Linked DNA regions of Sus scrofa. Each later gene encodes a partner of the first gene's protein in a complex. Links are inferred from orthologs where the notes say so. Each region holds a gene or a part of one and is shown in the gene's direction. Other genes may lie near its edges.

What was found. The genes of interacting proteins can lie anywhere in the genome.
Region 2: the proteins of NALCN (region 1) and UNC79 are in contact, whole or in part, in a cryo-EM structure (PDB 7SX3), measured with the Homo sapiens proteins. The link is inferred for Sus scrofa from reciprocal best matches to the Homo sapiens genes NALCN and UNC79. Residues at the interface, in NP_001337678.1 of Homo sapiens: Gln349, Met350, Phe351, His352, Glu353, Gly358, Trp359, Gln360, Leu361, Phe712, Ser713, Ile714, Arg717; in NP_001333147.1 of Homo sapiens: Cys861, Gln862, Ile865, Glu968, Pro969, Asp970, Phe1020, Gln1022, Pro2088, Asp2089, Ala2092, Pro2093, Leu2095, Leu2096, Met2099, Leu2139, Pro2141, Asn2142, Gly2143, Ile2144, Gln2147, Leu2148, Ser2151.
Region 3: the proteins of NALCN (region 1) and FAM155A are in contact, whole or in part, in a cryo-EM structure (PDB 7CM3), measured with the Homo sapiens proteins. The link is inferred for Sus scrofa from reciprocal best matches to the Homo sapiens genes NALCN and NALF1. Residues at the interface, in NP_001337678.1 of Homo sapiens: Cys207, Val209, Asn220, Leu222, Ala223, Ile224, Pro225, Thr227, Tyr237, Pro240, Phe243, Tyr406, Glu409, Phe909, Ala1044, Lys1045, Asn1047, Pro1049, Arg1054, Ile1060, Arg1062, Ile1063, Asn1064, Val1065, Ser1066, Lys1069, Lys1080, Lys1081, Gly1083, Phe1084; in NP_001073865.1 of Homo sapiens: Lys278, Glu281, Phe282, Val285, His287, Lys288, Tyr289, Leu290, Gln291, Glu294, Tyr295, Ser296, Val297, Lys298, Ser299, Tyr308, Trp311, Leu312, Gln315, Leu335, Gln338, Thr339, Cys341, Phe343, Ile344, Leu345, Pro346, Asp347, Asn348, Asp349.

Annotation. Positions count from the first base shown.
Region 1 is NC_010453.5:69,719,021-69,722,520, reverse strand, and holds part of NALCN (sodium leak channel non-selective protein), read left to right. Parts: intron 1-162; coding exon 163-278; intron 279-2,077; coding exon 2,078-2,235; intron 2,236-3,500. UniProt on the Homo sapiens protein: Voltage-gated ion channel responsible for the resting Na(+) permeability that controls neuronal excitability. NALCN channel functions as a multi-protein complex, which consists at least of NALCN, NALF1, UNC79 and UNC80.
Region 2 is NC_010449.5:114,881,761-114,885,260, forward strand, and holds part of UNC79 (protein unc-79 homolog), read left to right. Parts: intron 1-1,909; coding exon 1,910-2,139; intron 2,140-3,500. UniProt on the Homo sapiens protein: Auxiliary subunit of the NALCN sodium channel complex, a voltage-gated ion channel responsible for the resting Na(+) permeability that controls neuronal excitability.
Region 3 is NC_010453.5:74,774,700-74,778,199, reverse strand, and holds part of FAM155A (transmembrane protein FAM155A), read left to right. Parts: intron 1-91; coding exon 92-263; intron 264-3,500. UniProt on the Homo sapiens protein: Auxillary component of the NALCN sodium channel complex, a channel that regulates the resting membrane potential and controls neuronal excitability.

The DNA of each region.
Region 1 (3,500 bases):
GAAACATGCCAACTTGGAAACCATGCTAAAAGCACTTTAAAAATCTGGCTTATAATGTAAGTGATAAAATCCATTATTTATAATAGATGTTTTACTTCTGAAAAATGACAAATTAGCATGAGTGTCTAACATCTCCATTTTTCTTTTCATTTCCCTTTTTAGCCATAATTGTGGAGAATTTCTCTTTGTTTTATTCCACCGAGGAGGACCAGCTCTTAAGTTACAACGACCTTCGCCACTTTCAAATCATATGGAACATGGTGGATGATAAAAGAGAGGTAAGAGAGCGGCTTGTGGCGTCAAGCCCCAACCCAAAGTGACTTGCCGCCGTGGCTCAAACAGTTCAATGGTTTTGCTGTTGACGGTTGACTTGCGCTGAATGGAACGGCCGTTGCTGAGCTGCAGAAAGCCGTCACTGACAATTGAGAAGAACATGCCGGGAGAGGCGAGGCCAGAGTAGCTCCCCCGACGTGTTCTTTCCCACCACAGACATCCTCTCCTTTAGACGGTCAGAAGGTCGGCAAGGAGAGGGAACCAAGGGAGCGCTGAAGATTCCAGCCTGGGTTCAGGGCAGGAGAGGAGGTGACGTTCCACTTACCAAAGTGACAGTGTCAAGACTGACTCACAGTCACCTCAGCCTCGCACAGCAATTCTCATTAGAGGTGCAAAGGCGTTCCTGAAGTGGTTTCTGAATGTTATTCTTTTGAATTATTTTGGACTTAACTCTTCGAATATTTGCATCATAAATCTTACCCCCGACTTCCCAGAATTAGCTAAAACAGCAGCAGCTCCCACCTCTACCTCCTCCTCCTCCTCCTCTCCCCACCCCCTCCCCCTCTTCTTCTTCCCTTTCCTCCCCGCTCCTTCGCCATCCTAGCAAACCCTCAGGCACAATTCTGGGCTCCCGGGGTGAGGGTATGACCGTGGACAAGATGGCAAGGTCCCTGTGCTCTCCGAGCCTATGTCCTAATACGGAGAGACAAACAAAAAGTGAAACAATAATGATTTTATAATTTCAAGAAGTTAACACTATGAAATGGGGGACACACAGTAGCAAGTGGTTGGATTTGGGGGGCAGAGCCTTAGCAGGGTGGTCGTGAAGGCCCGGCTGAGGAGGTGATATGCGACTTAGCTGACAGACAGCAAAGCTGAGGCTTGGGCAGACCTGCGGGAAGATGTGAAGATAGTTTCCAGAAGAGTCGACTGTGGACAGAGAGACCAAGGAGCCAGAGGCAGAGGAGAGGGTCCTGGACGTGGGCGGGGGTCTGCAGCTTTCTGCACACCCCCTGCTCTCTCTGTGCCACCTCCCCTTCACCCAGGCATCGGTCTCCGGGTTTTCCTCTGAGACAGTGACCTGCTTCTACGGGTGTCTGTGTCACCCAGATCCACAGGGACCTGCTCTCCTGGCCACGTGCAGGCGCAGCCCGTCACATGTGTAGACCTTTGTAACTGACCAGAATCCAGGTGACCAACTCCCCGCCTCTGGCCCAGCGCCTCATTCAGAGTCGGAGCCAGGCTGGCTGCTAGGTTTTGTTGCTCAGAAGGGGGTGACACGTTAGGTCCCCAGAATTTGGATCTGCTGTGACCAGAAGGGCTCAGAGCTGGGAGCTCAGGTCTCCTGGACATTTTTGTTCTAATTATGAAGACCCGGAAAGGAGTGGTCTTTCTAAGTATGGGTCCCATTTCTTCTGCTAAATGCGTCCCTGACCCACTGGGCACCTGTGTCAGAGAACCACGTGACCAGGGTCGGAATCAATGAAACAGACGACAGGAAGGAGGCTGGGAGATCAGGAGCCTGTCCTGGAGGCGAGGGGACCTTAGCCCTGGCCTTGGCTCCTTGGCTGCTGTGGGGGGTGATGCCCCCCTAGAACCAAGGGGCTCCGGGGGGAGCTCCAGGGGCTCAGATCTCAAAGCTTCCCTGGGTGCGCAGACGCACCCAGCCTCCGGGAGCCCAGCCGCCTCCTTGCCCCGATGACAGGCTAGCTTTTGGGAACTAGGCTGCGTGCGGGCGTTTTTGCTGTGAAAACAGAACCGCAAGCAAAAGGATGGTTCGGTAACGACGGTGCTGTGTCACCAGGGTGTGATCCCGACCTTCCGCGTGAAGTTCCTGCTGCGGCTGCTGCGGGGGAGGCTGGAGGTGGACCTGGACAAAGACAAGCTCCTGTTCAAGCACATGTGCTACGAGATGGAGCGGCTGCACAACGGCGGCGACGTCACCTTCCACGACGTGCTGAGGTGCGCAGCTCCCCCGGCTCTGGGTGGCAGCCAAACTGAGTCCAGAAACCAGCCGAAGCTGCCATCCTTCAAGGCCCCGATAGATGCAGCTTTCAAGTGCGTTCACACCCAGAAATGCCACCTCCTCGGCCCAGGTTGTAAGGCGCAGTCCCGCTTCTCAGGGGCCAAGTGGCCTTTCTCACTGTCCTGCAAGGATCGTGTCCCTGTGGGTGCCTCATGCGGGAGGGGAGAAGCAGCGGCACGTCCCCAGATGCGCCCCTGACTGCAGAGGGGCTCCCATGGAAAAAGAAGCTGGGGGGGAGGGGTTTCATTAGGCAGGTAGGAGCTGGTCCGGGAGGGTTGGGCCACCTGCTAGAGCTCCCATCCCACTTCCTCACTCCTGGGTCAGGCCAGTATTGGCCTGGCCTGCTCAGGGGTGGTGGTCTCCAAAGGGCTGACAAACCCCCTTTCCCAGACATTTCATGAGGACCCAGGCAGGACAAAGGGGCAGATGGAGGCCTGGCCCTTCCTGGTCTCCAAGAGGAATCCGCATTATTTGCTAGGACTGCAGCAAAATAACTGACATATGCCGAGTGGTTTAAACAGCAAGTTAACTGTCTCCAGTTCTGTAAGCAGGGAATGAATTTGAGGTGTCGGCAGGCTTGGTTCCTTCTGCGGCTGTTGGGGGAGATCAGGTCCAGGCCTTTTCGCAGCTCCTCGTTTCTGGCAATCATTGGTGTTTCTTGGCTTGTGGAAGCATCATTTTGATGTCTGCCTTCATTTTTGCAAGGCATTCTGTGTGTGTGTGTGTGTGTGCCTCTGTGTGTGTGTGTGTGAGTGTGTGCTCCTGCGTGTCTGCGTCTGTGTCTTTTATAAGGACACCGGTCATGTTGGATGAAGGGTCCACCCGACTCCAGCATCACCTCATTTTAACTAATTACACCTGCAATGACCTCTTTCCAACTAAGATCACTTTGGGGGTGGGGGGTCCTGGGGGTTAGGACTGAGGAAAACAGTTCAACCCCTAACAGCTTCTTAGATGGGAGTTCTTGGATAAAATGCAGGGGTCCATGGTCTTGGAAAAGGAAACAGTTACATCTTTATTTTCATGAATCATTTGCTAAAATACAGCATTTTCTGCAGTGATGAATGTCGGCAATAAAGCACAGCAGTATTAACAATACCCACATCTTGTCACCTGTAGAAATCACAGACATTTCAGATCACATTACTGCCGTGTCTGATATCTTACAATATCCATTACGCTCACCAGTTCTCAGTGAGTC
Region 2 (3,500 bases), on another chromosome or scaffold:
GTTGACACAGCCACAGCCCATCAAGATTCAAGGTGAATGGAAGCATTTGGTTCCTCAGAAGGAACCAAACCCGAAGAGCCTCACCCGCAGCTGGACTTTATTTAGATGAGACGATCTTGGACCTCCAGCCAGGAATTTGCATGCAGGAAGAATGTAAATGATTTGTGACCAGAAAATAGGATGGAAATTGCAGGGCTTAAATTTTGGGACTTTATTATAGCTAATAACTACCTAAGAAATCCATGTCCACATTCTATTGTTTATGTAATAGTGGGAATAAAGACTAGTTATAACTGAAGGGAAGAAATAAACACTAGCAACGTACTCCAGTATACACCACACTGCTAGTGTTGCGATTTGGTTTAGTGGGTGAGCAGGAGACGCCCCAAACCAGTAAGGATTCATGTGCTTCCAGAATGAATTTAGTGTGTGAAAGAGAAAGAAAGGGTGCAAAGCAGGAAAAATACCTCACTTGGAGAAGTCAGGGCTGACTTGGATGCTGAAGGAGACTTGAGCTTTAGATGCGGAAGAAACACTGTATTTTAATAAATAATTTTAAAGAACTTATTAGTAAAGGTGAAAAAGATCATTAAAAATTTAAACTTGCTTTTATGATTTATTGCGCTGAGTCCTGTTCAGAAAATTAGATTTTCCAGCACTCATATCTAAAATTTTGTGCTAAAATCAAAGTGGAAAAAGCCTTATTTTGAAATGGGTGTTCTGATAGGCAATTCAAGACATTGTCAATGTTTGGATGTAGGTGTTGTGCTTGTCTTCTTCCTTCTTTTGTCTCCCCAAGATATCTGTTATGGAGCATTCTCAAATCCTCCCCAAGCCTGAGCTCATAATGGCTTAGGGTATTATTTTTTTCCTATGATATTCCATCTTTTTTTTTCCCTTTTTTTGGCTGTGGTTCTGGCACATGGAAGTTCCTGGGCCAGGGATCAAACCTTCTACAGTGTTAACTAGAGTCACAGCAGTGACAATGCCTAATCCTTAACCCCCTGTGTCACGAGGGAACTGCTGTTATATCCCATCTTAATAAGCTCTATGGAAAAACTGAAATACAATGGTGGCATCTGTAACAGATAGGTTTCTGCAAAGGTCAGGGATATTTCCTGGTTGCCCCTCAGATTGCTTTATGTGGGTGCTGCCTTGCTTCTCTGCTTCTTTCAAGGCAGCTCTGACAATGGCATCCCCCTGAACTTCAGCATCTTTCTTATACTGCATCACTTTTCTCACCTCCATCACTTCATCTGTTGACTCCTTTCCTAGAGTGGATGCCATTGGCTGAGCCTAGGAATGGTTCTTGCTATGTTTTGATGCTTCCTTGTATCAATTGACATAGTCTTTAGGTCTTGATAGAAAGAGTGCTTGCCGGTGGGGTTAGATAGGCCTGCTTTTGAACCATCAGCTCAGCTCAGCACAGCTCCCTACCTGCCCTTAAATGTTCAGGGACAGATGTACTGTGATGGAAATCTACTCTTTAGGTGGTGGATAAAATGATTTTGAAAGTTTGTTTTAGGGGCTGAAATTGTTCCTTTCCTATTCTGTGATGTGCTCTCTCTGGATCACAGTTTTAATTTTTTTCGTATTTCTGCTGCAAACTCGTAAAACACTAACTTGAAATAATTCAGAACGTCCACCATGCCCCATGACTGAGGTCACTTTATGGAGGACTTTTCAGTCATATTTAGGCTGTTCTACCACTCATACTAATAGAAACCTCTTCTCAGCTTTATTTTTAACTATGACTGAAATTTAACTGGTTAGAGATGACCTGCATTTTGGAAACTAGTGGCACTTTAGAAAAGTGCTGCCCCTTCCGGTGGCCCTTCTGTTTGTTCCAGTTATTAGCCAGATTTACCTCAGTGATTAATTTTGATTGATTTCACTCTTTTGCTCCTAGAACTGCAGTTCCCATGTTAGAAGAGCTGTTGTCACCTGCTTTTCAGCAGGGTGCTGTGGTCGTCACGGAAACAGGCCTGTTCGGTATTGCAAAAGATGCCACTCGAATCATCACAGTAATGAAGTGGGGGCTGCGTCGGAGACCCACCTCTATCAGACCTCCCCTCCACCCATCAACACTCGGGAATGTGGTGCTGAGGAGCTCGTCTGCGCCGTGGAGGCCGTAATTAGGTAACGGCTTCCTTGGAAGCTTACCCTGAGAACATTGCCTTTGCAATGAGACACCCGTTCCACATGAGGTGGGCAAATTTAACTCAGCTTCAAGCGCCCTCAGCCAACATCTCACCTTCCACAATGTTGCAATGATGATTTTTTTTTTTTTTCGGTCTTTTTAGGGCTTCATCAAGTGGCGTATGGAAGTTTCCCAGGCTAGGGGTTAAATCGGAGTTAACAGCTGTCGGCCCACCCAACAATGTGGGATCCAAGCTGCGACGTGCACCACAGCCTAGGGTAATGCCGGATCCTTAACCCACTGAGCGAGGCCAGAGATTGAACCCTAGTCCTCATGGTTACTAGAGGGGTTCATTACCACTGAGCCACACCAGGAGCTCCCAGTGATGATATTTTAATTCATTAATTCAACAAATACTTTTATTGAGTGCCAGTCACATGCCAGGCATATGTTAGGCACTTGGGAGAGAGAGGAGAGTAAAGTGTAGTTTCTGACTTCAGGTTACCCGAGTAACTTGACTTCCGTATTAGTGTAATAAATGTTTGCTAAATAAAACATTACAGAAAGTTTGGAAATAGGAAAAAAATCATCCATATTGCTGTCATCATCATCAATTTTGCACATGTCCTTCTAGTTTTATTCAATGTTTTATTTATACGACTGTAATCACAGTGTATCCGGGTTCATTCTGATGTAACATTATACCAGCAGCTCTTTTCCCTCTTGTTTGGTAGTTTCTGCATTTATCACTTTTAGTGACTACATAATGTTTATTTAAATTACTTTCCTCTACCACTAAATATTTTGACTTCATTTTTTTTTTTACTGTTATAAATAACTCTGATAATTGTTTTTGTGCATAGTGCTGTTCCTATATTTTAAATTTTTTTAGGGTATGTGATCAGATGTTGACTGGGTCAAAGGTATGAATATTTTAATGGTGCTTGATACATGGACAAACTGATTTTCAAAGCGTGTATATGAATTTCACACATCACTGTATGACGTTGCTAGTTTTTTCTATACCCTTGCCAACATTGAGTATTATTTTTAAAAAATTTCCATTCATTTAGCAAATTGCAAAAGGAATGGTTGTAGCTCACTGCCAGGTATTTGAACCCTAGATATTAAATATTTTACCATTTGAGTACCAGTTCCTCAATTTCTCTTCGTATCCTGTATTTGATGTCTGCATAGCTTCATATTAGATCTAGGAAAAGCACTGGCTTCTAGTGAGATGATTGATGAACTAGAAGCCAGAACCATCAGTCTGCTTGATTCTAATTGACTGGAGGAAGGCGCCTCCTTGCGCCTCAGTTTGGTCATCTATGAAGTGGGGATGGAGTAGAACATAGGAAAT
Region 3 (3,500 bases), about 5.1 Mb from region 1:
AAACCACAGCATGCTCCCCACGGTACAGCACGTCCCTTATTAGTCAGAACTGTTGTCATCCCGCCCTATTTTTGATTCTTCTCTTTTTCAGATTGTCTACAAAGCCTGGCTGTGTTCCCAGTACTTTGAAGTCGCACAGCTTAACTGCAGAAAGACAATTCCTTGCAAGCAATACTGTTTGGAGGTTCAGACGAGATGTCCGTTCATATTGCCCGACAATGACGAAGTCATCTACGGGGGACTCTCCAGTTTCATCTGTACAGGTAGAGTGCAGGGCGGGTGCTGGCACCCAGCCCCTCGTGGTGGACTTGCTCCCCTTCCACAGCTGTAACCCTGAAGATGTGGCTGGTGCTATTCCATGCTTTCCTCCACGGAAGCCCTGAGAGGACCCCAAAACGGATTCGGAAATGCTGCATTATGTGTCATCTAACTGTGACCGCAATCGTTAACTTTGCCAAAGGCTCGTTCCGCGGGCAAAACAATGCCTTTGCTTAAGTTGACTTAGAGCTGATTGGGTTCCACCTGCCTTATCTTTGTATTAATCTAAGAACAGATGATAGGATAAGGCTGGAAAATCATCTCTTCTTCAAATCGGTATCAGGTTTTTGTCCCAAGCCTATTCTTTGAGAAGTGTTATGTTTCTTTAGCTTAAACAAGTATTAAGAATATGAAGAAATGTCCACCTAAGTTATGTGTGTGTGTGTGTGTGTGTGTTAGAGTCACACAACAAGGGCCAGGTACAATCTTATCTTATATTTCCCATTAATAATGTTTATTTCTTTCAACAAATGACCCAGGCTGAGCAAAACACCCACAGCAACATTCGATGTCTGGATATTCATGAGCCTTGCGCAATGTAGGCACAGACTAGGATGTAGAGGATAAACGTAGGTTGTTTTTTTAAGTAGATGGTGGATAGACAAGTGGGGACCATCCACTTTGCTGTACTGACGGGGTAATCCAAGCTGTCGCTGTATATTCTCTCCCTCACAAAGTACTCCGGGTGTCCTTGACGCGAGATGGCTTGAGTGGCATGTTGGCAGGTTTTAAGGATAAGACGCGACCATAAATACGAAGAAACCTGAAAACCTGTTCTTGTAACAGACTGTGTGAAACTCTTCTAAGCAGAGTGACGTGTTGGTATGACCCACACGAGGACTTATCCGGGTCCTTCTGGATCACGTATTAGGTCTATCTAATCCATGCCAGTCCATTAGCCACGCTCTTCCAAGCGACGCTCCATCAAGAGAGAGTCCAGCAAACGGTCTCCCCTTGGAACCTGCCTACACGCCGGATGAGTATTTCTGACGCTGCCCAGCCTTGTGGGAAGAACGTCTGGATGAAGGTTAAGAGACACGGGCTTTCATCCTGATGCCACTCTGCGTTCTCTCTAAGCCACCGTCTTCTCAGCAGTAAATCAGCCACAGCACCCCCGCCACCCCCACCCCACGCCTGCCGTGAGGATTCCCGGGAGAGGAGAGGTATGAGACGGGTCAGCTGTAGGCAACGGCCATGGCACGTAAGGAGGTGATTTGTGGAATGTAAAGTGATTTACCAATTATTTTCTTATTCCACTGATTTGATACTGAGCTTGTTGTTCATGTAGTTCGTCTCTGCTGGAAAGACAGAGCGAGCAAGAGAGAGAGAAAAAGAAAGAAGGAAGGAAGTGGAGAGGGAAGGGAGATATTAACACCCTCTTCCTTTGAGTCTGAGCCAAAGTTCATCAGTCACAGGTTATGTGTTTATTTGCCTTCCACTTCAAATTCTCACTAAATGGCCATCAAGATAAGGCTGTCAGCTCTTGACTTTGGGGTCAATGAGGTGTCCGTGCTTTGAGGGTTTCTGAGAAACCTGTGGAATTTTATGGAAGTGTTGCATCTGTGTTCACTCACATGCGTGTAACTTTTTTCCTGGAGGAGTCAGCAGCTTGGCCAGGTTCTCAGAGCAGACAGACCACACACAACCTCAAAAGAAGGGCGAGGCATCTGCCTTCATCTCTCCTGCTTCCTGCTCTCTCATCTGCGTGTCTGAGTCTGAAATACAGGCTTGACCCTGCGTTCCCTGCCTGTACACTTTCAAACCACCAGAAAGCTGAGCATGGAGGGTAATCTCTTTCTGCCCAACGTGTGGAGAGATATTTTATCATATTTATTATATTTTTAATTGTCTTGGAGGTTTTTAAAATCAGGATTTTTCATCTCCGTCATTAAGGAAAACAGACAGGAAAAGAGAGATTTGTCTTTAGTCAGGTCCAGGGGGAAATGTCATGGACATTAGAAGCTTTTCTGGGAGGATCTCACCCCCGAATATTTGGGGACCTGGCTCTTCTTTCCCTGCTGTCACCTGGGCTTATGTTCTTTTTACACTTCTCAAAAATGTGCAGAGTAGGAAGTTCCGTTGTGGCTCAGTGAATAAAGAGCCCGACTAGTATCCATGAGGCTGCAGATTCCATCCCTGGCCCCGCTCAGTGGGTTAAGGATCCAGCGTTTCCATGAGCTGTGGCGCAGGTCGCAGACGTGGCTCAGATCCTGCGTTGCTGTGACTGTGGTGTAGGCCGGCGGCTACAGCTCCAATTCGACCCCTAGCCTGGGAACCTCCATATGCCGTGGGTGCAGCCCTAAAAAGAAAAACAAAACAAGACAAAACAAAACGTGCAGAATAAATTCTGAAGGTGTTTTGCCTCTGAGGTCGGTGACATTTTTTGTACTCATTTTCAGACGGACCCTCTTGCCTAAGGGGCGACCAGGCCTCCTGGGAGGATTGTGTGTGTCCGGGTCACTAGCGTCCATCCTTTCCACCTTGGGTCACAGGGGTCCCCTGAGTTTTGCAGCTGGTGGGAATCACCCACTGCCTGGTCACTCCTGACGGGGGTCCGAGACACCACGGCCCCCAGAACGTCGCCCTATGGGAAGCAGGGAACACAGAAAATAGCTCCCAGGGGCCACGGGCGAAACCCCCAGTGACCTCTCCCATTTGTAGGGAAACTAGAAAGACATTGCAGAGAAAGCATTTGTTCGCAAACATTGTTACACAGTCTTTGAAGGCTCCGCTCCTACAGAAGGATACACGGATGCAAGTCATTCACCTCTGAGGTACATTTGAGTAGATGCTGAGTCATCTCACAAGCCTTTGATGCACTTTGAATGAAACGTCTTCGGTGCTCAGGCAGAATTAGTCTAAACCAAGTCAAGAAACGGGAGCATTTTTCCTAGTTTCCCCATTGGCTGCAGGTGACCTAAGGCCCTGGGATGGCAAGCTCACAGCCATGCCACCCCACCCCCCCGCCCCGGTCCCTCCCCTCCCCAATCAGTGAACGACAGTCACTGGACCCAGTTTTATTAAAAGGAATTCATCAAGGGAGTTCCTGCTGTGGGGTGGTGGGTTAAGGATCCAGTATGGCTGCAACTGTGGTGGAGGTTGCAGCTTCAGCTCAGATTCCATCTCTGGCCTGGGAACTTCTATATGCTGTGGGTACAGTCAAAAAAAAAAAAAAAGGAATT